Oryctolagus cuniculus: one gene and its partner. The protein of the gene in region 1 interacts with the protein of each later gene in a pairwise test. Links are inferred from orthologs where the notes say so. Each region holds a gene or a part of one and is shown in the gene's direction. Other genes may lie near its edges.

The links. The genes of interacting proteins can lie anywhere in the genome.
Region 2: the proteins of SMAD1 (region 1) and PSMB4 interact in binary tests that used the Homo sapiens proteins (3 or more experiments, as listed by UniProt). The link is inferred for Oryctolagus cuniculus from reciprocal best matches to the Homo sapiens genes SMAD1 and PSMB4.

The regions. Positions count from the first base shown.
Region 1 is NC_091439.1:19,274,791-19,282,170, reverse strand, and holds part of SMAD1 (mothers against decapentaplegic homolog 1), read left to right. Parts: intron 1-1,910; 5' UTR 1,911-2,091; coding exon 2,092-2,491; intron 2,492-7,380. UniProt on the Homo sapiens protein: Transcriptional modulator that plays a role in various cellular processes, including embryonic development, cell differentiation, and tissue homeostasis.
Region 2 is NC_091438.1:46,686,849-46,694,941, reverse strand, and holds PSMB4 (proteasome subunit beta type-4), read left to right. Parts: upstream 1-2,997; coding exon 2,998-3,137; intron 3,138-3,328; coding exon 3,329-3,535; intron 3,536-3,705; coding exon 3,706-3,852; intron 3,853-4,021; coding exon 4,022-4,103; intron 4,104-4,479; coding exon 4,480-4,596; intron 4,597-5,510; coding exon 5,511-5,603; downstream 5,604-8,093. UniProt on the Homo sapiens protein: Non-catalytic component of the 20S core proteasome complex involved in the proteolytic degradation of most intracellular proteins. This complex plays numerous essential roles within the cell by associating with different regulatory particles.

The DNA.
Region 1 (7,380 bases):
CATTCCTTTCACATCAGTAAAAAACAAAATTGTATTTATTTATTTATTTTTATTTTTATTTGTTTGAAAGGCAGAAAGTGGGGGAGAGGTATTTTCCACTCACTGGTTCACTCCCCAAATGCTCACAATAGCTGGGGCTGGGGCTAGGCCAGGTCAAAGCTAGAAGCCTGGAGCTCCATCCAGGTCTCCCACATGGGTGGGTGGGACTCAGGTGGTCTGCTGCCTTCCATGGTACACATTAGCAGGGAGCAGGATCAGAAGTGGAGTAAGCCAGAACTCAAATTAGGTTCTCCAGTATGGGATGCCAGTGTCTCAGATGACACCCATTACACAACAGACCTATCCCAAAAGCAGTTTTTTAGAATCAGGAAATTACTGTTTAACTTGCTCTGTAGCCCATAGACATAGGCTTATTTAGTGAATAAATACTCTAAGATGTTACAATATTTACATAGCAGAAATATAACTACCTTTTCATTTAGCATAAGAAATATTTGAGTAACACACCATGAAACACATGTTATGAGGCCACCATTGTAGTATAGCAGATAAAGCTACTACCTGGGACACCGGCATCCCACATGGGTACCAGTGCATGTCCCGGTTGCTCCACTTCCAGTCCAGCTCCCTGCTAATGGCCTGGGAAAAGTAGCAGAAGATGGCCCAAGTGCTTGGGCCCCTGAACCCATGTGGAGGACCTGGAAGAAGCTCCTAGCTCTTGGCTCCTGGCTTCATCCTGGTCCAGCCCTGGCCATTGCAGTCATCTGGAGAGTGAACTAACGGATGGAAGATTTTCTCTCTCTCTATCTAACTCTGACTTTCAAACAAATAAGTATTTTAAAAAAATAGACTTTCTGACTAATAATTTTATTATTACCTGTTATTTTCAGTTTTGTTGATAGAGATGTATTTTAAATTTATTATTAGAGGTCATAAGTGATTGTGAAAAAATATTATGGTATCTGTTGAGAACTTGGACTTTTTCACACCAGGATGTCCCTTGGCATGTCTCAGAGTGAATATATTTAAACGGTATCTCCATTTATTAATCAGGAGAATGGCAATGATTGGTCTGTTGTGGCTGTCATAGTTCTCACAGTTCTGGGGGCTGGAAGTCCAGGTGAAGGTTCTGGACATGCAGTTGCTGCTGAGGGCTCTTCCTGGCCGCCGTCCTGCCGTGTCCCCCCATGGCCTTTGCTCAGTGCATGAGCATGGATATGCTGAGGTGGGAGGGTGGTCTTATAGGACCACCAGTCCCATAGGGCGCCACCCTTTTGATCTCAGTTAACCTTAGTGATTTCCGTGGAGCCTCGGTCTCCAAACACAGCCACATCTGGGGTTGGGGCTTCAACATATGCATGGGGCAGAGGGGGATGCAGCTCAGTCCGTAGCATACTGTGATACGGATGCACTTCAACTTCACAGTGGGTTATGCTCCAGCAAGCCCGTGGCAAAGTCAAACCTGCAGGTGGAACCATTGGAAGTCAGGGACTCTGCACGTCTAACTACTTAAGATAGGACGCTACACAGAGTGATTAATAAATTGTGGTAGTGGTGATTTTTTTTTTTAAGATTGTATTTATCTCAGAGGTAGAGTTTAGACAGAGAGAAACAGAGAGAAAGGTTTTCCATCCACTGGTTCACTCCTCAAATGGCTGGAGCCGCAGAGCTCAGCCGATCTGCAGCCTAACGGGTCTCCCACGTGGGTGCAGGGGCCCAAGCACTTGGGCCATGTTCCACTGCTTTCCCAGGGCATAGCAGAGAGCTGGATGGGAAGAGGAGCAGCAGGGACTCGAACCGCTGCCCACATGGGATGCTGGTGCCGCAGGTGGAGGCTTAGCCTACTACGCCACAGCGCTGGCCCCATGGTAGTTGTGATTTTGAATGGATCTTTCTCCTTTCTTCTCCAGGTGCTGGCCTTGGGTTGCTTTCCGGAACACTAGGAATGGTCATTTCTGTTTTTCGGGACTTGAGGCTGCGACGCTGAAGAGAAGCCTATGTAAATAAGCTGACATCGCTGCTGCTGTCCCTTCTGTTGGGAGACTCCCTGCTTCCCCGCGCCCCGAGGAGTGGACGACCCGTGTGGTCACTATGAACGTGACCAGTTTGTTCTCCTTCACGAGTCCCGCCGTGAAGAGACTTCTCGGGTGGAAACAGGGCGACGAGGAAGAAAAATGGGCAGAGAAAGCTGTGGATGCCCTGGTGAAAAAACTGAAGAAGAAGAAGGGCGCCATGGAGGAGCTGGAGAAGGCCTTGAGCTGCCCGGGACAGCCGAGTAGCTGTGTCACCATCCCCCGCTCCCTGGACGGCCGGCTGCAGGTCTCCCACCGGAAGGGGCTGCCCCATGTCATCTACTGCCGGGTGTGGCGCTGGCCCGACCTCCAGAGCCACCACGAACTGAAGCCACTGGAATGCTGTGAGTTTCCTTTTGGTTCCAAGCAGAAGGAGGTCTGCATCAATCCCTACCACTACAAGCGAGTGGAGAGCCCTGGTGAGTGAGCAGCTGGTCTGTGTGACTGAGAGCATCCAAAGAATCCCCTTGGTTTTAGTCGTAGTTTTAGAAATATTTGGAGAGAGAGAGAGTAGGTGTGTGGGTGTGCAGGTGGGAGAGAGAGAGAGAACCCTTGAGTGTTTCCAACATTTTAACAGCTTGATTCTATTAGGAGCAGGCCATGAAAATTATGATTGCTGTAGTAACACCTCTCTTTTTTTAATAAGCTGTTTTGTTTCTATTTTTGTTGTTGTTTCATATTGCCTACATTTCTGCAAGCAAATTTAGCTGTGAAATGTATTATAAGGGAAGAAAAAGAAGCCCAGTGTCATTTCCCTCTGCGTGCTGGAGGGAAGTCATCATGGAGGCAGCTGCCAGTGACTTGTGCCACTTGTACTTAAGAAGAGTACTTTCTAGGGGTCAGTGTTGTGGCACAGAGTGTTGAGCCACTGCTTAGGGCATCTGTGTCACATATTAGAATGCTGGTTCAAGTTCTGGCACCTCTGCTTGCAACCCAGCTTCCTGCGAAGGCATCTACTAATGCATCCTGGAAGGCAGCAGATGATGGCTCACGTGCCACCCACATGGGAGACCCAGATGGGAGTTCAGCCTCCTGGGTTTGGTCTGGCCAGTCTTGACTATTGTGGGCATTTGGGAAGTGAACCAGTAGATGGAAGATCTGTCTCCCTCACCCTGTGTTCTGCCTTTCAAGTAGATGAAAATAAATTAAGATCTTTTTTAAAAAAGGATTGATATTTCTTAATCATGTGTGCTCGGATTTTGCTGTGGAATTTCTGTATTCCCTGTGGAGGGTATGAAGAGATTATGTTCTTCTATGGAATCACTTGATACTACTGCTTTGTAAGATATTCCTAGTTGTTACAAGTGTGGCCTTTTTGCACGTATATTAAAGGTATACAGTTGACTCTCCCTAGCTGTAGGCCCTGCAGCCATGAATTCAACCAACTAAAGATTGAAAATATTAGAGGGCCGGTGCTGTGGCTCACTTGGTTAATCCTCTGCCTATTGCACTGGCATCCCATATGGGCTCCAGGTTCTAGTCCTGGTTGCTTTTCTTCCAGTCCAGCTCTCTGCTGTGGCCCGGGAGGGCAGTGAAGGATGGCCCAAGTGCTTGGGCCCCTGCACCTGCATGGGAGACCAGGAAGAAGCACCTGGCTCCTGGCTTCAGATCAGCGCAGTGCCGGCTGTAGCGGCCATTTGGGGGGTGAACCAACGGAAGGAAGACCTTTCTATCTCTTTGTCTCTCTCTCTGTCTATACCTGTCAAATAAAAAAAAAAGAAAATATTAGAAAAAATTGCATCTGTCTTGGACAATCACAAACTTTTTTTTTCTTGATATTCCCTAAGCAATAGCAACTATTTGCATAGCATTTACATCTTGTTAGGTATTCTGAGTAATAATAGGATGAGTTAGGTTATTTAATAGGATGTGCTTAGGTTATTTGCAGAAACTGTGACACTTTATAGAAGGGACTTAAGCATCTGCAGATTTGGTATTGGCAGGGTCTCTGCAGCCAGTCTTCCAGATACCAAGGGATGACTGTTTTAGAATTTGTCTGGTTTTTCCCTCCTCATTCTGGATGGTTGGATCCATTGGAAAGTGATTAGGTATTCGGTTGTTTAATGTCATTGTCAGCTTGAGACCAGTTTGGGGTTACAAGGGTTCCTTAATGTGGCTGTGTGTTAGAATCGCATGAGTTCCTCCGCAGAAATCCTGATCTGGGGATATCATGGTACCCTGTTTTTAACAAGTACTTCGGGTGTGGCTGATGGAGGCAATAGGTTGACCTAGATCATGTAATACTACTGTGGCTTTCACAGAAAGGGCAGTCTGTATTTTTCTGAATTATATGTAAGTCAAACAAAATAACTTTAAAGACTAAGGAATAATATAACAAGCATCTTTTTATCCCCCACGCAGTTGAAGGAATAAATAAAAGATGACACATAAACTGAGCCACCTGTTAGTGTCCCTCTGACCCTATTTCCTTCAGTAACCACTCTTTCGAGTTTGATGTTTGTCATTTTCATTCATGTTTTTATAATGTTGTGTATGTATGAATCCATGATGATCTCTTCTGTTATTTTGTGTACTTTAAATTATTACATGAGGAAATTTAGAATTTCCTTGTACAATTGCTATAGTCATTCAACATAATGCTTTTTGTGATTTTAGATTATATACTTCAGGATTACCTTGTCAAATGCCGTGAAAAACCCTCTGGGAATTTGTTGGGCTTTCATTGATTCCCTTTGGGGAGGATTGACATGGTTATGCCCTGGAGCATAACATTGTTCAGTAACCTTAAAGTTTTTCTCATTCAGTTCTTGGACATCTTTTTTAGGTTTATTTCCAGATAAGTTGTTTTCATTGTGTCATTTAAAGAATTCCTTTTGGGTAGGAGTACAATTACTATTTTCTCCAACAGCAGTGTTAATTTCTCCTCATTCCTTCCAGTATAAACATTCTTCACTGTTTATTATGCCAGCTGTAATGTAAATTTTCTTTGGAAAAAAAATGCTTAACACAGAGATGCATAGTCCTCTTTTAGCTGGAAATTAAAATGGAAGTAGGCGTTTTTGGAGAATGAAGTATAGTGTATGAGTCATATGTACTAACCAGATCATTTAGGCACATCCTTTTTCTTTAATCTTTATATGCAGCATAAGAGGTGCATAGGGAGACTTTAATTCCACTACTCAGGGGGCAAAACTGACCCCCACAAATTAAGTGACCTGTATGTCATAAAAACTGAAAGTAGAGGAATTTTTTAAAAATATTTTTTATTTATTTGAGAGGCAAAGAGAGGAACAGGTAACTTTCATCCACTAGTTCACTAATGCAGCTCTCTAAATAATGAAGCACAGAACTCAATCCAGTCTCCTGCATGGGTGGCAGGAACCCAGTTACTTTGATCACACCTGGTGCTTCCCACTGTACACATTCAGGAAGCTGAAGTCAGAACCCAGAATCTGGAATCGAACTCAGATATTCTGATGTGGGAAGCAGGCATACCAGCCAGCACCTTAACACTTAGGCTAGTTTTTTCAGTTGATAGAAAAAAATTGGCATCCAAGGGACATTATTTCCAGGACCACTCCCCACACCCCCATGGATACTAAAATCAGAGCTACGTAAGTCCCTTATATAAAGTAGTATAGTATTTGCATGTAACTTATACATATCCTCTTTAAATGATCTCTAAATTACTTGTAATACCTAATGGAATGTAAATAGTATCTGAATAGTTATATTGCTTAAATGATTCTATCAGTTTAGCTGGACACTTCAAAGTTTATAGGAAATGTAAGTAAAAGGCACGTTTATTTGGCTTTTTTTTTAATTCTTAAGTACACAGGGTCTTCAGAAAGTTCGTGGAGAATGGGTATTATAAAAAAAAAACTGCAAGGACATCAGAATTTTTTGCACCAAATTAAGCACATCTTCTAATTCCTTTTTCCATGAGCTTTGGAAATCCTCCAATACTGACAAGAAAGATTCAGTTATAGGGTGTTCAGAACACACAGAATTTTTATTTCTCCAGATATTTGTAACCCGAGGTTCACTGAGTCCACAGATGTGGAACCTCCAATTCAGAAGGGGCCGGCCATGAGGACATATGTTTATGGGGCACAGTGTGATGTCTCCGTACACCTAGTGTACTGCCTAGTGCAGTGATCAAACCAGTGGAGTCAAGGTGTGCACCTCCTCCCATACTTACCATTCCTTTGTGGTAAGGACATTCAGAGTGTGCTCTTGGAGCGACTTTGAAATGCATGTGTTAACTCCACTCACCATGCTGTGCAAGAGATCACCAGAAGTTACTGCTCCTTTCTAATGAAAACCTTGTGCCCTCTCGCTGAGGCCTCTCCTTACCCCACCCACCGCACCCCCTGAGCTTCTCCTAACCACCATTCTACTCTCTACGCCTGTGAGCGAACCATCTTTAGATTTCAGATACAAGGGAGCTCACGTAGTATTTGTCTTTCTGTGCCTGGCTTATTTCACTTAGCGTGATAGCCTCTAGACTTATCCATGTTGCAAATGACAGAATTTTTTTTTTAACTTTTATTTAGTAAATATAAATTTCCAAAGTACAGTTTATGGATTACACTGGCTTCCCCACCCCATAACTTCCCTCCCACTCACACCCCTCCCATCTCCCGCTCCCTCTCCCATTCCATTCACATCAAGATTCATTTTCAATTATCTTTATATACAGAAGATCGATTTAGTATATATTAAGTAAAGATTTCATCAGTTTGCACCCACACAGAAACACAAAGTGTAAAATACTGTTTCAGTACTAGTTATAGCATTACTTCACATTGGACAACACATTAAGGACAGATCCCACATGAGGAGTAAGTACACAGTGACTCCTGTTTTTTTTTTTTTTTTTAACTTTTATTTAATGAATATAAATTTCCAAAGTACGGCTTATGGATTACAATGGCTTCCCCCCCATACCGTCCCTCCCACCCGCAACCCTCCCCTTTCCCACTCCCTCTCCCCTTCCATTCACATCAAGATTCATTTTCGATTCTCTTAATATACAGAAGATCAGTTTAGTATACATTAAGTAAAGATTTCAACAGTTTGCTCCCACACAGAAAGTGACTCCTGTTGTTGACTTAACAATTTGACACTCTTGTTTATGGCATCAGTAATCTCCCTAGGCTCTAGTCATGATTTTCCAAGGCTATGGAAGCCTTTTGAGTTCGGCGACTTCGACTTCGATCTTATTTCGACAGGGTCATAGTCAAAGTGGAAGTTCTCTCCTCCCTTCAGAGAAAGGTTCCTCCTTTTTTGATGGCCCCGTTCTATCCACTGGGATCTCACAGAGATCTTTCATTTAGGTTTGTGG
Region 2 (8,093 bases), on another chromosome or scaffold:
GTTTAGTTTTGGTTCTTTCTGAGAATTGCAGGGACATCCTGACATGTCAGAAAACCAGTCCAGCGTAACTGACTGAAATGCTTGGACTTTGGGGGAGTTCAATGCTGGTTAAACTCAAAGTAATAAATAGCCACCCACAGAAGACTGGTACACTTTAAAGATTTTCTATACTATGCCAGGCCTGCTCTTACAATAGAAGGAACAGGTCTTAATGTAAGGACCTAAACAGGAGTGAGACAACAGACTCACCAACCACTGCGGGCTTCTGAACAAGGACATAGCTAGTTCACTGCTGGCTGATTAACAACAAGTTCATACGACCGTGGTTCTGGCAAATCAGAAGAGCCAGGTATCCCAGGGGTTTTGAGGAATCCCAGTAATCCCACTTGTCAGCACAAACTGAGCACCTGACATTTGTCCAGGCGAACTTGAGTTGCCCGAGTCAAGTGGAATATGAAGTTTGGGGAGAAAGCAGTCACCAATTAGGGGATAAAATGGAGTATTTTTTTTTTTTGACAGGCAGAGTGGACAGTGAGAGAGAGACAGAGAGAAAGGTCTTCCTTTTGCCGTTGGTTCACCCTCCAATGGCCGCCGCGGCCGGCACGCTGCGGCCGGCGCACCGCGCTGATCCGATGGCAGGAGCCAGGAGCCAGGTGCTTTTCCTGGTCTCCCATGGGGTGCAGGGCCCAAGCACCTGGGCCATCCTCCACTGCACTCCCGGGCCACAGCAGAGAGCTGGCCTGGAAGAGGGGCAACCGGGACAGAATCCGGTGCCCCAACCGGGACTAGAACCCGGTGTGCCAGCGCCGCTAGGCGGAGGATTAGCCTAGTGAGCCGCGGCGCCGGCCAAAATGGAGTATTTTTAAAAGACAAAAATATTGGTTATCACTTTAGTGCCCAGCTTTGTTTATCTTGTTTAGTGGAGGGAGAGAGGCCGGGGGAGAGTGAGAGAGAGAGAGCGAGCATGAATGGAAGTAAGCATGCTCCCCCATGCACTGCCCAAACGTCCAGGTCTTCCACGTGGGTGGCAGAAATCAATCACTTGGGCCATTACCCCTGTCTCCAAGGATCTGCATTAGCAGGAAGCTGGATCAGAAGTGGAGCAGCCGGGACTCGAACCGGAGCCCATATAGGATGCCGGCACTGAAGGTGGCAGCTTTACCCACTATGCCACAGCGCTGGCCCCTGGCTTTATCTTTGATAAGGCTCATCAGGCCTGCTTGAGAGTCACATTGAAAAGGGAACCCTTGGAATCACTTTCACTCCTAGTCTCACTGGGATTTTTCTGCTGCTTGAAGGGTTGGGGAGGGAACTTGAAAATAAGAACGTTCAGAGTCTTGTCTAAGGTCCCACAGGAGTGAGTGATCTCCTGGAGATTTTTTTTTTTTTAAGATTTTTTTTTATTTATTTGAAAGGCAAAGTTAGAGAATAGGGAGAGAGAAAGAGAAAGAGAAAGAGAAAGAGAGAGAGAGAGAGAGAGAGAGAGAGAGAGAGAGAGAGAGAATCTTCCATTACTGGTTCACTCCCCAAATGGCCCCAACAGCCAGGACTGGACCAGGACTGGCTGAAGTGAAGCCAGGAGCCAGGAGCTTCATCCAGGTCTCCCATGTGGGTGCAGGGGCCCAAGAACTTGGACCATCTTCTGCTGCTTTCCCAGGCACATTAGCAGGGAGCTGGATCAGAAGTGGAGCAGCTGGGATTCCAACTCTGTCCACATGGGATGCTGCCACTGCAGGGGCAGCTTTACCCGCTATACCACAGTGCTGACCCCTGCTTGAGACATCTTTTTTTTTTTTTATAATTTTTTTTTATTTATTTTTTATTTTTTTGACAGGCAGAGTGGACAGTGAGAGAGAGAGACAGAGAGAAAGGTCTTCCTTTTGCCGTTGGTTCACCCTCCAATGGCCGCCGCGGCCGGCGCGCTGCGGCCGGCGCACCGCGCTGATCCGATGGCAGGAGCCAGGAGCCAGGTGCTTTTCCTGGTCTCCCATGGGGTGCAGGGCCCAAGCACCTGGGCCATCCTCCACTACACTCCCTGGCCACAGCAGAGAGCTGGCCTGGAAGAGGGGCAACCGGGACAGAATCCGGCGCCCCAACCGGGACTAGAACCCGGTGTGCCGGCGCCGCTAGGCGGAGGATTAGCCTAGTGAGCCGCGGCGCCGGCCCTGCTTGAGACATCTTAACTCACAGGGTACACACAACTTTGCGGATCCCTTTCTTTATCCTAAGGTTCAGTTGTACAATTCCTGCCTGCATGACCCAGGGAATCACTAAGCCAAAAGCCTCAGTTCCTTATCTATGAAATGAGTGGAATAATACCTGTCCCATGGGGCTACTTGGAAGGTACAGACCCTGGGTTCTGGGGTGCAGTGGGCAAGCCGTGGCTTGGGATGTCTGCGTCCCGTAACTATGAGGGTGCCGGTTCCTGTCCGGGCTATTCCTCCTCGACCCAGGTGCCTGGAAATGCACACCCTGGAAGGTAGCGGGGTTGGCTCACGTGTCTGAGCCCCTGCCACCCGCGTGGGGGACCGGGTGGAGCTCCAGGCTCCTGCCTTCATCAGCTCTGGCTGTTGCAGGCATCTGGAAAGTGAAAGCGTCACTCTGTCTTTCGTATGAACAAACATTTTAAAAAAGAGATCCTGGGTTCCGTGCTACTTTCACGTGCCTTTTTTGGTAATAAGCCAAAAGGTGTATGAGACTTGCTCACTGCTTCAGCGTCAAGTGTCCTGACGAAGCCCCACAGCCTGGCTCCGCGCTCCCTCCCGTAGAATCGCGTGCCAGAGCACTCCTTTTCACTCCAGACTCCCCGGCGAAGCGACGAGAGGCGGAGCAGGGCACGCCCAGTTTCCGCCTCGGTCGCCACCCAAGCCTACGAAATGACCTCCTCAAGATGCCCGCTGGAAGTAGCTTGCCGGAAGCAGAAAAGTGTGGCACCGAAAGATCACTTCCGCTTCCGTCGGCGCAAGCGCACTCACTGCTTCTGCTACCGTGACTAAGATGGAAGCGTTTCTGGAGTCGCGGGCCGGGCTTTGGGCCGGGGGCCCAGCTCCTGGACAGTTTTACCGCATCCCGTCCACTCCTGCTTCCTCCGTGGATCCGGCGTCCGCGCTCTGCGGGAGTCCGATCGCGCGGACCCAGTAAGTCCTCGGCGCCTTAGCCTGTGTAGGGGAGGGACCGAGGGCCCGGTGCCGCTGGCCGGGTGCGACGGAGCCCGGGGAGGCGAGGCGGGGACCGCGCAGTAGAGTCCCGGAGGAGGCAGAGTAATTGGAAGGACCTAGGGCGCGGGCTCCTTCTCTGCGCTGCGGTCGCCAGACTCTGCACTCCGCAGGAACCCCATGGTTACCGGGACCTCGGTCCTCGGCGTCAAGTTCGATGGCGGGGTGGTGATTGCCGCAGACATGCTGGGCTCCTACGGCTCCTTGGCGCGTTTCCGCAACATCTCTCGAATCATGCGGGTCAACAACAGCACCATGCTGGGTGCCTCCGGAGACTACGCTGATTTCCAGTACTTGAAGCAAGTGCTCGGCCAAATGGTGTAAGTTGAGAGTAGGGAGTAGCTCCCGAGTGGGGGGCGGGGGGCGGGCCGGAGTCGGGCCCGGGGAGAGGTGTTGGGAGTGGAAGGGTCGGGCGCAGTTTTTGCCATTGGGTGGATGGGGGGAGAGGGGTGGCGGTTAGGACTTCCATTCTTCCCCCCTTTCTTTGAAGCATTGATGAGGAGCTGTTGGGAGATGGACACAGCTATAGCCCCAGAGCCATTCACTCGTGGCTGACCAGGGCCATGTACAGCCGCCGCTCCAAGATGAACCCTCTGTGGAACACCATGGTCATCGGCGGCTACGCTGATGGAGAGAGGTTGCGTACACGTACCACTTCCTTGCCCACCCGACCTAGTAGAGCTTGTCTCGCGTCCCTTCCGTCTCTCCTCCCCGAGTGAATCCCACCTTTCACCCAGACCCCGTGGCCCTGTCCTTTAGCTGAGAGCTTTGATTAAATGCTCACTTAAATCGTTGTGTCCTGTTAGCTTCCTCGGTTATGTGGACATGCTTGGTGTGGCCTATGAAGCCCCTTCGCTGGCCACTGGTTATGGTGCATACTTGGCTCAGGTAAGTAGTGGATCTGGAAGTGGGAAAGGGGGAAAGAAGTGGGGAGGGGGAGGGGAGGAGGGAGGAGGAGAGGGGCTGTCTGCCTCTTCCCCTGGAATCCATATGAGCAGCAGCTGCTTGTGTCTGGAGGCTGAAGTGTTGCCACCTGCACTCCAGGGACCAAGGCGGCTCCTCTAGCAGTCAGCAGATTAAGTGCAGAGGGAGGACGCCCTAGGACTTCCCTTCCAGTGCATCTTGCAGCTCCTCAGCCCTTCCTGCTGGCGAGGGAGTCCAATGTTTGGCGCTCCGTCATCCACTTGTTTGCACTGTGGGTTTGAGACAAGCAGCCTGGTGCTCAGTGCCTGATAGCAACCCTCGTGCGTTTCCCCCAATCCAGCCTCTGCTGCGAGAAGTCCTGGAGAAGCAGCCGGTGCTGAGCCAGGCCGAGGCCCGCGAGCTGGTGGAGCGCTGCATGCGAGTGCTGTACTATCGAGACGCCCGTTCTTACAACAGGGTGAGGACGGCTGTGGACAGAAGTGCCGGCCGTCTAAGCGGTGGGCGCTGGGTGGCTGGCATCCTCAGGGGCTCCGCTTTGAGGAGCGCATTGCCTCACTTCTGTGACTGCTATTTAGGGACTGGGGGAGCTGGGGGAAGAGACCCTCTAGTTGACCTTTGACCAGGCTTCAGGGATGGGCATTTTCATTTTATTGGTTATTTTTTTTTTTTTTTGGACAGGCAGAGTGGACAGTGAGAGAGAGACAGAGAGAAAGGTCTTCCTTTGCCGTTGGTTCACCCTCCAATGGCCGCCGCGGCCAGCGCGCTGCGGCCGGCGCACCGCGCCGATCCGATGGCAGGAGCCAGGAGCCAGGTGCTTTTCCTGGTCTCCCATGGGGTGCAGGGCCCAAGCACCTGGGCCATCCTCCACTGCACTCCCTGGCCACAGCAGAGGGCTGGCCTGGAAGAGGGGCAACCGGGACAGAATCCGGCGCCCCAACCGGGACTAGAACCCGGTGTGCCGGCGCCGCTAGGCGGAGGATTAGCCTAGTGAGCCGCGGCGCCGGCTTTTTATTGGTTATTTTTAAGAGCTGTATTTGAAGAGAGAGGGAGGGAGGGGGCAAGAGGGAAACACACACACACACACACACTCTCTCTCTTCCATCTGCTGGTTCACTCCCCAAATGGCCATGACGGCTGGGGCTGTGCCATACTGAAGCCAGGAGCCTGCAACTCCCCGTGGGTCTCCCACATGGGTAGTAGGGGCCCAAACAATTGGGCCACCTTCTGCCACATTCCCAGGCATGCTAGCAGGAAGTGGAGCAGCTGGGATTTGAACCAGTACTCTGACATAAGTAGTGGCCTAACCTATTTAAGCCACTGTGCTACAACACTGGGCCCCCATTTTCACTGTAAGCTGTGCTTATTTTTCAGTATCAAATTGCCACGGTAACTGAAAAAGGTGTTGAAATCGAGGGACCACTGTCTGCAGAGACCAACTGGGATATTGCCCACATGATCAGGTGAGTGAAAATTAGATGGTAGAAAAGTTGCAAGGCCCCTTGGCCTGTACTGAGCTGAGCCCTTCTGAGGGGCTTAACCAGAAAAACTCCCTTGGTGGTGGGATTTTGGTTGGAGGGTGGAGCTTTTCTCTCTATAGTTCATTATTTTATTATGCTTTCTTCCTTATAGTGGCTTTGAATGAAATACAGATGCAGTATCCAGAACTGAATTTAGACACATTTAACTTTGAACTTGGCCTGGTTCAAAGGTAGACTTTTCTTTTGTAAAATAAACAAATACTTTTAAGTGCTCGCTGAGTGGTTTTGTTCTGACTGGGTCATGGCGAGAGCTGAACTGTCCAGAGTGCTGCCACATGCCACCTCCCTCACCGCGCAGCTCTGCAGCTCTGGTTAGCAGCCACAGAATGCCATGTGTGTCGACACAGAAAACACCTGAGCCTACCAGAGAGGCAGCTGCATGTGGAAGATGATCTCTGCGGGGTAATGTAGCCGGCTTTTGTGTTTAGAAGTTTTTCTTAAACATTTTCTCCTGCTATACTAAATTCTAAACTGCTACAGATTTTCTGGTTAGCGTTTGCTGTCTCAGATACGAATGTAGTGTCTAGTATCGAGCTGCTCTGTGTGAAATTACTTCAACCTGCACCTGACCCATCCAGCCTCACCTTTCATACAGGGAATACTAAGTAAACGTTTCGTGTACATGCATATTGTGCAAACCTCAATTTCTAGCACTTTAAGAAAACTTATTAGTGTTGTGTGTTCATTAAAAAGTCAGAGTTAGCTATAAGTCCAGTTGGCCATTAGCCATGTTCCATCCCTGAAATGATTTTAAACCTGTCTTAAACATGAACCCTAAGTGATTCTGATGTGTATCTAGTCCAAACCTTCTTGAGAAAGTACAGCAAACTCAAAAACCATTACAGCTATTGAGTCAGGTGAGAACTGACAGAAAGCAAGCCAGCTCTGTGATGGGAAACCTCTAAGTTTAAGTGCATGAAATCTCCACAAATCCAGTCTGAACACAGGACAGTAGTCAATAAATATGTGTTTATTGATTAAACTGAATTATAAAAAACAACAAAACAAAAAAACCTTCCTTCTACTACTAAGCCATGCAGGCAGAGTCCACAAAGACAACTTCCTGGCCAAAACCCAGCTGATCCACTGTTGGTTATTTTTTTAAAAAAACTGCCCATCAACAAAGTCAATCAGTGTGCAGAGGCCAGGAACCCAGCTCTGCTAAGGCTGTGGCTGCTGCAGAGACTACCAGAGGAGGATTAAGTTGCTGTAGATAGATGTGACCGTAGTTCTTGAACTTTCTCCGAGGCAAAGGGTTGACTTGGAAGTCCACAGTCTGTCAGTAAAATGGCATCAGGCAAAAAGCTGGGGATGAGAAGCCCAGATGGATCCTTGGTCGTCTTCAGATGACAAACGCTGGCCGTGCTGCGGGGATGCTCCAGTTCACTATATTATAGTGTACTGGGGGTCAAAAACAAAAACACTGGCAGGAGTGGGCAGAGTGTCAGCCTGCGCCACCGCGCCTGTCCCCTCTCGACATCTCCCAGTCTGTGAAAGCCTACCTTGAACAGGGCTACCTAGAAAAACAAAGCTTATAAATCCATTTCCCCTCATTTTATTAAATGTTCCACTTACGTACATTTAAAGATGAGGCATTTAGAAGCTCCTGCAGCCTGCCTCCTCGGCTCCCAAGAGGGGGATGCTGCTGCCGCCTCAGGACGGACAGGTGCGCGGCGTAGCTGCGGGACAGGGGGCGTGCTGCGCACTCCTTTTCTCTGGTGCAGTACATTTTGGTTTGTATCCACGAATACATACAATTCTTTAAAAAAAAATCCCTCATGCAAATTGTAGAAAAAATTTTCTTCCCTTGAAGCTGGCAGTGAAAAATATTCATGTCTTTTTCTCCGTGCACACTCCGTGCTGTTTCTCAGGTCAGGTTCTTTAAGTGGTAAGAGAAAAATAGGGGAAGGCCACAGGGTACGCAGAACGTCCACAAGTGGGCTTTCTTTCCTGTGTAGAGTCGACACTTCGCTTTTTATGCAATTAGCTCCTGGCTGTAGGACCTGTCCACGTCCCAGGCTGAAGCTCACCAAGGCCGGTACTGCCCGGGGCTTGCAGGATGAAGGCTCAAACTGGGCATGGCTCGCACCCTAGCATGCGCTCTGATCACCTCAGCACCTCCTGCTCACTAATGATACATGTATGGTCCTTTGTCCAGAGTGATGGAGGGGGGCGAGAATGGGGGAAGGGGCGAGTGCAAAGAATACTGCTTTTGTCGGAAGGAGCATGGTGAGGGAAAGACAAATTATTCATCGTTCTGGATGCTCAGAGGTGGTTTCATGCATTTTTTTAAAGCCACAATTTCATATCTAGGGTTGATGTAGAAACCAACATCTCTGGAGAGGGAAGGCAAGAAAAGGAGAAGGAAGAGCGAGAGTTCAGTGGGATTTTTTTTCCATTTTCATTTTTATATAAA